Drosophila melanogaster: one gene and its partner. The protein of the gene in region 2 purifies or fractionates together with the protein of the main gene of each other region. This does not show direct contact. Each region holds a gene or a part of one and is shown on either strand. Other genes may lie near its edges.

Region 1 (4,514 bases), on a different chromosome or scaffold from region 2:
AAACGTCCTGCACCCATACATACACACTCTCTCACAGGATTGGATGACTTGCAATAATCCTCAATCCGCAAACCATATGTTCCGGCATTTTGCCAATATATTCGCTCCGTTGAAAATGGCCCTAATTTAGTTTTTATTCCTACGGCTTCGCGTTTGAAAGAGAGAGAGAGAGACCGAGAAAGAGGGGGCTTGTAACTGATGTCGTCGACAGCCATCCCTCTCGCTCGCACTTATTCCAAGCCCTTTTAGCCCATGCACACACACGTTTAACAAAAATCAATTAACTTGAAAGCACATGTAAAAAAAAGTATTGATCCACAAAAAACAAAAGGCACTTCGGTAATCCTGGAATACACACACTTACTGCCGAAAATATTTAAAATGAATGGGTACGCGTATATATTTATATGCTGGTGAACAAAAGGCGAGCATAACAAAAATGTCTTATCGATTTGCATGCGCAGCAGACAGTAATTGCAAATCTTGTATTTTCTTGAGTCTGTGCAACAACTGAAATACCTTTCTGGGCATAAACTATCATAAACACAAGTGGGTGGTGCTGGGAAACATCGCTGGAATTGAATATTTGTTTGTTGGTCGATTTGTTCTGAATGGAAACGAATGTCGTTTGCAAATTGCTCTCTCAGCTGTTTACAAACGCATACCACATAACGCAGGTGAGAGAGAGAGGGAGGCATATGCGCAGTGAGAATGGAAGATGAAGGGTTGCCAAGTGCGCAAAGGCTTGCAAATTAAGTACACTTGTGTGCGGGGTAACCGAAAAACGGGTGTTTACAATAAATTTCGCTGGGTGGATGTAGCTTTGTAATTTGAGTTCGCCAATTTTTTTTGTTGTTAACAGCATTTCGAAGCGGTTGCCAACCCTAGACGCTGGCTGGTTGCATGGTAACGAAAAATGGCGGCGCCTGTTACACACACTCACACACACATGCACGCACAGTCTGCTGTGTTTATGCACTTCATGCTGTTCCGATTTTTTTTTTGCACTTTTTCGATTTGTTGTCTGCATTTACCTTAAATGAATTTATTAACTAAGGCGATATTGTGCCTCTCGCTCAATCTCGCAAAACGATGCTTTGTCTGCTGCTTCTCTGTGCGTGTGTCCGTCTCTTTCCACGGCTTTTCGTCGAGACTCACATATACAAACGGCGACACACTGGATTGGAGCTGGACTCCGTTTTGGATGGCTTGGCTTTGGCTGCGTACCCAAAATAAATCGCGCTTGCAGTCCCAAATCATTTTAGTTCTTGACGCCTTTGTTCCACAAAAACTTCCAACCGCCGTCCATGGCTCGTGCTTTCTCTTTCGCTCGCGAGACGCTCCAAAAGTCGCGAGTATGGGAAGAGAATGTATCCCTCGCTCTTTCACGCCTAGAAGCGGCTGTAGCACACACAAGCACACGTAAACCCAGCCGTATGCATATACATATATTCCCTCTACTAGCGAGACGTGTGTACGTGCGTATGTATGTATGCTTTTTTCACTTCTTTCTCCTCTGCGTTCTTTGCACCAAGTGTCGCTGTTGCTATTTGCTACCGCCGCTCCTCTTGACGAATAAGTCGGGACTTGTATCAGCTCTAATTCGGACTTAGTTTACAAAATGCGGCTGCTTTTTTTCCGCGATACTCGGATTAGTGATGTAAAAAGACGTTGATGCTTCGACCACTGAAGTCAGTGCGATATGTATCGATAATTGAATGCCATCGATTGCTACGATTAAAACTGCCACCGCAGTTAGCGGAGACGCTCACCATTCTCTATTCGCCATTTGAAAGTATCGGTGTAATTTGTTTTCAGAGAAATTAATTTCCGTTTACTGTGCAATTCGGTGTGAAAGTGTTCAGATTTATCAATGCGTATTCTGCTTTCGACTTCGCCACCAATCTGTGCTGCAAGTTACCATTACCAGGTCCACCTGGTTCCCGCCAGTTTTCTTTCATTGTGGCTAGTTGTTGTTCGTGCCTTCGATAAAGACGTTTAGAGGTGTTTTTAGAGTTTCGCCATCTGGTCACTATAGCCGTTTCGTTTTTTACGTGAGTATTGTGAATTTGGTGTGTTGATTTATATCTCAGTTGGAGCCTGCGTGGAAATAGTGTCAGTACGTTTAAAGGCATCATCGTAAGGTTAGTCGGAAAACAAATAAAAAGCCTACAAATAGCAAGCAAGAACGCTTTCGCAACCACAAGAAAAACGAACATACGCACGCATCCATCTGTGGTAGAGTCGGCTTGTGTGGGGGTGAGTGGATGTGTGGGTGAGCATTTCTGGAAAGTGCCGTTCTCTATGTTTCGATTCTACTTATCCCTTCATCACCATTTCATCGTTGAATCATCACGAAAGAAACATCGAAAGTGCACAATCGTTTGTTATCTTTGTACGAAAACAACGGTGATTTCCACACAGGCATAACCTGCAAGAGTAATACGATACAAATTTTGATCTGATATGACCTCATTTTAGTCGGTTTGAATTTTAAAGAGAGCGACTCTGCAAACTGCAGGGATATGAACATACAAAATTCACAAATGATTGTTTGCATCCTAGTTGCTTATATTCATTTACACGCATGCTTATATGCTTACATCTGTTATCAATAATTGACGACTTGGTGCATGCGAAGCAAACGCATTGAAATGACTATTGGGATCCACACACTGTTAAAAAACACACTGATTGCACTGCCACACATTTCTCAACTAGAACCTAATGTTTTATACTGAACTTAACTGCAGGAAAGCCCAAAATGCCCAGCATCAAGTTGCAATCTTCGGATGAGGAGATCTTTGACACGGATATCCAGATCGCCAAGTGCTCCGGCACTATCAAGACCATGCTGGAGGACTGCGGCATGGAGGACGATGAGAATGCCATTGTGCCGTTGCCCAATGTGAATTCGACGATTCTTCGCAAGGTGCTTACCTGGGCTCACTACCACAAGGACGACCCCCAGCCAACGGAGGATGATGAGAGCAAGGAGAAGCGCACAGACGACATTATCTCATGGGATGCAGATTTCCTAAAAGTCGACCAGGGCACACTGTTTGAGCTGATATTGGCAGCGAACTATCTGGACATTAAGGGCCTTCTGGAGCTCACCTGCAAGACTGTTGCAAACATGATTAAGGGAAAGACTCCCGAGGAAATACGCAAGACCTTCAACATTAAGAAGGACTTTTCGCCCGCCGAGGAGGAGCAGGTGCGCAAGGAGAACGAGTGGTGCGAGGAGAAGTAAAGCGCGGCATTTCGCGGGACCAACATTAAGTTGAAACAGCTAGGGGATTCGGGAACGAATTGGATTTGCAGCATTGCAACTTTACTTAGTTGCTACTTTCATTTACATTTTTTTTTATTTTTAACCCCAGCAGAGACTCGATTTAAATTGTGTATAAATGATCTGTTGCTGATTTGATTCGCGGGGTTCATTTTTTGTCGTAAATATATCTCATATACATACATATGCGAGATTGTAACACTCTCTTTAACCTATTGGAGTAACACTTGATTTCACTTTAATAAATATAACTACCCAACACAAAGACACAGCCTATTTTGTGGGCTTCCCGGAGGGGTTAGGGTCCAAGGACTTCTCAAATTAAGAAGTGCTCTTTATTCGTTATCTTGTGTTTAGAAACGTTTGCAAGCGTTTGAAATGGATACGCATGCCATTTATGGTCCAGTCGGTAAAATTTTACGTGTTCCCAAGAAGGTACATATATATCTTAGATTATCTTATCTATAGAAACTACATTCATAAGATCACGCTTTCGGCGAATAGCGAGTAATACTGTAGCTGCCACTTTGCCACTTAGTGTGCAATTGAAATGCGCGCCAACGCATGTTCTCATATGCGGAGCGTTTAGCAGCCCTTAAAAAGCTTTTCATGTTGCTTTTAAAAAGCTACGACGGGTGTGGAAATTAGATTTGTGACGCTTTATATATCTTTTTTTTATATCGTCTGGGGTACAGCATGGTTTTAGGATTTTAGAAGAAAGCAGTAATTTTGTAAGAATCGAAGAACGGGGGGATATTTATAATTTTCATATTAACCTTGTCTTTGTTTGCTTTTGAAATTATGAATACTTCGAAAGATAATTATCTTGTGCGCATTCCATTCTGGCTTAGACTGGGTTGAGCTAAAAATGATTTGAAATACAAATTTTTAGGTGTCCGCTGATATATAAACAGTATGATGTTTTTGCACTTTTTTCCCTGAAGTTTTCCTTGTTGTCTCGCTTGCCAATGCTGAACAAAGTAGCCAAAGGACCTTTACTTGAAGCTTTGAGAGCGGAAAATATATTCGGGGACAATTGCTTTAAGTGTGCACTAGGCTTGGCTAGATGCCCGTGCCAAACTTTCTTTGGAATTGATCGCTGGCCTTAGCCAAAAGTGGAAAAAAGAAAGGATAGGATAGTGCCGCACGTATTAAGGGTCTTCTTACAAAAGGTAACTGATATTAATTCATTTGCATACTAAGCAAGCTAACTCATCTGTTT
Region 2 (4,955 bases):
TCAAGTTGACAATGTTTTATCTTTACGGACATACATTATATTTCGGCTGAACTTCTTCGCAAATAAAAGAACTTTCAAAGTTGCAATTCCGATCGTTCATTCCTGGCGATTTTGTCGGTCTAAAATCACTTCCCAGTTCATCGCAATGCTCCTCATTATTTTTGTTATTTGGTTCTCCCCCGTACCACAAATCCGTTGACAAGGGCTGTCCATTGGAAAACCAAACATGTTTTCCCTTGGTTCCCAAATCCGTTCCGGAGGTCCAATATCTCTCGAAAATGTTATTAGCTAAAAGGTATTCGCTTACCAGGCGCAATTCGTCGAAAGTTTCAAGAGAGATTAATTCCGCTTGTTGTTGTCGACAAATTTCGTAGGCACCAAACCAATTTTTTTGAAGTTTTCGTTCAATGAGATAGTAACTGTTCCCGATCCTAACAAATGTGTCATTAGTTGTCTGAAGCGCCTCAAGAGCTCCTAATTAAATAATCAAAAGTCAATTACTTTATAATATATAAAAACAAAACTCACCGGCAACATTTCTAGAAACCTCAAACAGGAATAGTGCTACCAAAAAGGTAGTAGATCCAGTCAGTTTAACAATCATTGTGGTAATGATAAAAAATCCGGAGTTAGCCGTCAAGGCTCGCTAATTTCGTTAATTTAAGATTTTATTCGCTTATCATCTCAATTACCATGGGTAATACCGTTTAAGTTTTACATTTTGTATTCTAACAGTTGAATGTATGTAATGTCTTGAACAACTATTTTTAGTCTTACAGGACTGTTTTTATTTATATTAGAGGTTTTTAAGTTATTTCTTGTTAGATTAAGGAAACTTACCACAAAAAACAAACAAAAATAACGTATTTTGTAACATTTCAAATGTATTCGATAAAATGCCATCGATATATTTCTGGTCAGGTAATAACATCGAATATCAGAAATTATGTAAAGATAACAACGTGCAGTTGGTGTAAACAAAAACAAGAAAAACGTAAACAGATCGGATTCATTACCAATCCATTTCCAGATTGAAAACCCATTAAAGACATGTCCGACGAGTACGCCTGCGTGGCCAAGGGCAAGCTTAAACTAAAGAACGATTCGGATCTCAAGAAGAAAAAGAAGAAGCACAAGGGCAAGGACAAGGAGAAGGAGCTGCAGAAGGCGTTCGTGGAGCAGCAAATAGCGGAATCGGGGGCCACATCCTCCTCCGCCACCAGTGGCTACGAGCGGAAGCTCACCAAGGCCGAGCTGGCCAGTAAGAAGCAGCAGGAAAAGATGCGCAACAAGCGAATCATGGACAAGGCACAAACCACCCACAAGGAGCGCGTGGAGAAATTCAACGAGCACCTGGACACGCTCACCGAGCACTTTGACATCCCCAAGGTGTCCTGGACGAAGTGAGGCGACGCCGCTCGTAACTTAAAGCATACATTTATTATAAGGTTAAGTAATTTCGACTACGTTTCAACCTGGAGCGCAGGAAAAGTGAGAGGGGAGGCCAAAATAAACAATCCAGATGGCACAACTAAGCTAAATACACAGGCATATGTAGTTACAACGTAAAGAGGGGTAGTTTCCAACTTTCAGTCCATTGTCCTTGGAGGGCTTTTGATCTTCTAGCGCGGTGCAATTAGCTCGTACATGGCGTACTTCCATGTCCACGCGCGCACCAGTTGCTCGAACCTTTCGCGCTCGTGCTCATAGATGTATCCAAGTTCAGGCTCCATGCAGACTTCGGTATACGGATCGGTCAGCAGGCTCTGCACAGAAAGCAGCACCTTGGCCACGTTCAGCGCCAGAGACCAGTTGTGCTGCTGGAAGATGTCGATGCCCACGTCCCCATGCCGCGAAACATTCGGATGCAGGATTTTGGTGAGGAAACGTACTGTGGGCGGCGTCATCGGATATCGCTCCGGGAAGTATATGAACAGGAAGAACTTGCCGCCTTCGTAGGGACTGCCCGGTGGCCCCAGAATTGTCGCCTGCCAGTAGTTGTTTTGCCGATCCAACGGTATGGCCGATATGCCCTCAGATTCGTAGCTGTTCAGCAGATTGGCTTCACCGCGCAGAAAGTTGTTGCGCATTACATTGCCCGGCTCCCGATCGCCCAGCTGTGGATCTGCCTCCTGTGCATCCTGACCCCGACCGCCCATCTCAATCAGGCAAGTGCGACAGAAGCAGGAAGACATCAGTGCCCCGTACAGCCGATACCAGTTTGGATTGTCTGCCAAACTGTCGAACAGCGGCCAGCGCTGCTTGATATACGCCTTCCACATGCTCTGGGCCGTGTTTTTCCCGACAATGTCGTGCCATTGCTTGCAAACTTCACTAGCCATCCACAGCGACATGTCGTCCAAATAGGCAAATATTTTCAGCATCACCTCGACGGGTATTATGTTGACAATGTTTCTGCTGCTGCCACTTGCTCCGCTTCCGCTGGCGGCGTTGTATTCATGCACTCGCGCCCTTCCATCGGCCAGCTCATGCATGTAATGGGGCAGAGCCAAGGGAGCCGTGGCCCGCGGACGCTTAATGGGCAGCAGGAAGGGATTAATGGCTCTCTCGTGCTCAAAGTCGCGCTCCGGAGACTCGCGTCGTGGTGCCGCAGCCTCCGGCACCGGCTGTGGCAGATCTATAACTGGTTGGGCTGGCTGTTGATCCTGTGGCTCCATTGGTGGCTGCGGATTTGGATGTTGTGGCACGGCTGCCGGTTGGGGGTCCTCCAGATCCTCAAAGCCCATGATGTCTACGTCGTTTTCGGTCTCCTCGTCTTCCTGCTTGTCCTTGAACGGCGGCTCGTCGTTCCCAGAATCCTCGTCATCGGAAAGCTCCGTGAGCAGCTCCTCCGCCCGCTGTGCGTTGTACAGGAAGGCGTGGCAGGCGCCGCACAACGGCTCCCCGAAGTTGGGCCCATAGTAGCCGTTGCACACCCAGCAGGTGTTACTATTCTGCAAATTGGAAAGGCTATTTATTAATCGGCCCGCAAGAAACTAGCCTATTGTATACATACCGAAAAAGAGAAGGTCGGCTCTACCAGCTGGTGGTGTTCCTGGTCCGGATCGTCCGGGTCGTCCATCTCGTCGCCACTGCTGGCCAGTTCCTTTAGCAACTGCTCCTGGTCCTTTTGCTGATGCGCTGGCACGCAGCTAGTCATTTTACAGAACTCCCGAGAAACTGGTGCTAAAACAAATAAATAATCGACAAACGATAGACCATCTAAAAGTGTTACCAAGTGGTGTTAGCTTCAAAACCTGTCAAACAGTGTTGTGGTTATCGGACTATTGGTCGGTCGATAACCGAATCAAAACAAGTGCTGCTAACTTCACACGTGCAGTTTATGTGATATTCATCAGCAAAATGAAGGCAAAAAAGAAGTTGGGTAGGTAACGTCGCTACGAAAGTAATTCTTTAAACGTCCGTTTACCCCGCCAATTATTTCAGGCGTGGGATTGAGCCGCCAGGAACGACAGGTGCTCGTCATCGGGGAGATCATTCAGGAGCTGCTGAAGGCGCACGAAGCCAAAAAGGATGTAAACCTTAATCGGATGAAATCATTGGTGGCCTCCAAATATGGACTGGACAGTTCGCCGCGCCTGGTCGACATAATTGCTGCCGTGCCGCAGGACGCCAAAAAAATTCTGCTTCCAAAGCTGAGGGCAAAGCCCATTCGCACAGCAAGTGGCGTAAGTCGCACTTGCTTACACAAGGCGTACTATTCATTTCAATTATTTCAATCCAGATCGCCGTGGTCGCCGTCATGTGCAAGCCGCATCGTTGTCCGCACATCAATATGACCGGCAATATATGCGTCTATTGTCCCGGCGGACCGGACAGCGACTTTGAGTACTCGACACAGTCGTACACAGGCTACGAGCCGACCTCGATGCGAGCCATCCGGTCGCGGTACGATCCTTTTCTTCAGACCCGACACCGCGTTGAACAGCTGAAGCAGCTGGGACACAGTGTGGACAAGGTGGAGTTCATCGTAATGGGCGGTACGTTCATGTGCCTGCCGGAGGAGTACCGCGACTACTTTATCCGCAACCTACACGACGCCCTCTCCGGCCACAGCAGCGCCAATGTGGCGGAAGCCGTACGCTACTCGGAGAAGTCACGCACAAAGTGCATTGGCATCACCATAGAAACAAGGCCAGATTACTGCCTAAAGCGGCACATATCGGATATGCTTAGCTATGGTTGCACCCGGCTGGAAATCGGTGTGCAATCGGTTTACGAAGACGTGGCCAGGGATACGAACCGCGGACACACGGTGCGAGCGGTGTGCGAGAGCTTCCAGCTGGGCAAGGATGCTGGCTATAAGATCGTGACGCACATGATGCCTGATCTTCCCAATGTTGACTTTGAACGCGACATCGAGCAGTTTATCGAGTACTTTGAGAACCCTGCCTTCCGCTCTGACGGCCTAAAGATCTATCCCACGCTCGTCATTCGCGGCACTGGTCTCTACGAGTTATGGAAAACCGGGCGATATAAGTCATATCCGCCATCCATGCTTGTGGACTTAGTGGCGAAGATTTTGGCCCTTGTACCACCATGGACGCGAGTGTACCGCGTACAGCGCGACATTCCCATGCCGCTTGTTAGGTAACTTGTCCGATATATATATTAAATAAACCTGACATTTTTCTTCATTTTAGTTCCGGCGTGGAACACGGAAATCTCCGTGAACTGGCGCTGGCCCGCATGAAGGATCTTGGAACCACTTGCCGCGATGTTAGAACCCGCGAAGTTGGCATTCAGGAAATCCACAACAAGGTGCGCCCTTACGAAATTGAGCTAATTCGTCGGGACTATGTGGCCAATGGCGGCTGGGAAACGTTCCTCTCATACGAAGATCCTGAACAGGACATTCTCGTAGGCCTTCTTAGGCTGCGAAAGTGCTCACCGGATACCTTCCGCCCGGAACTGAAGGGCGAATGCTCCATTGT

What was found.
Region 1: the proteins of morgue (region 2) and SkpA purify together in Drosophila melanogaster (affinity purification with western blotting; 3 studies listed by BioGRID, with this or other methods). This does not show direct contact.

The regions. Positions count from the first base shown.
Region 1 is NC_004354.4:654,346-658,859, forward strand, and holds SkpA (SKP1-related A), read left to right. Parts: upstream 1-1,768; 5' UTR 1,769-2,439; exon of another isoform or gene 2,440-2,753; 5' UTR 2,754-2,764; coding exon 2,765-3,253; 3' UTR 3,254-3,554; downstream 3,555-4,514.
Region 2 is NT_033779.5:4,441,448-4,446,402, forward strand, and holds morgue (modifier of rpr and grim, ubiquitously expressed), read right to left. Parts: upstream 3,234-4,955; 5' UTR 3,161-3,233; coding exon 3,017-3,160; intron 2,955-3,016; coding exon 1,623-2,954; 3' UTR 1,423-1,622; downstream 1-1,422. Other genes in the region: Sfp24F (seminal fluid protein 24F), read right to left, coding at 23-474, 529-604; CG15432 (uncharacterized protein), read left to right, coding at 1,051-1,407; Elp3 (elongator complex protein 3), read left to right, coding at 3,364-3,385, 3,448-3,689, 3,746-4,611, 4,665-4,955.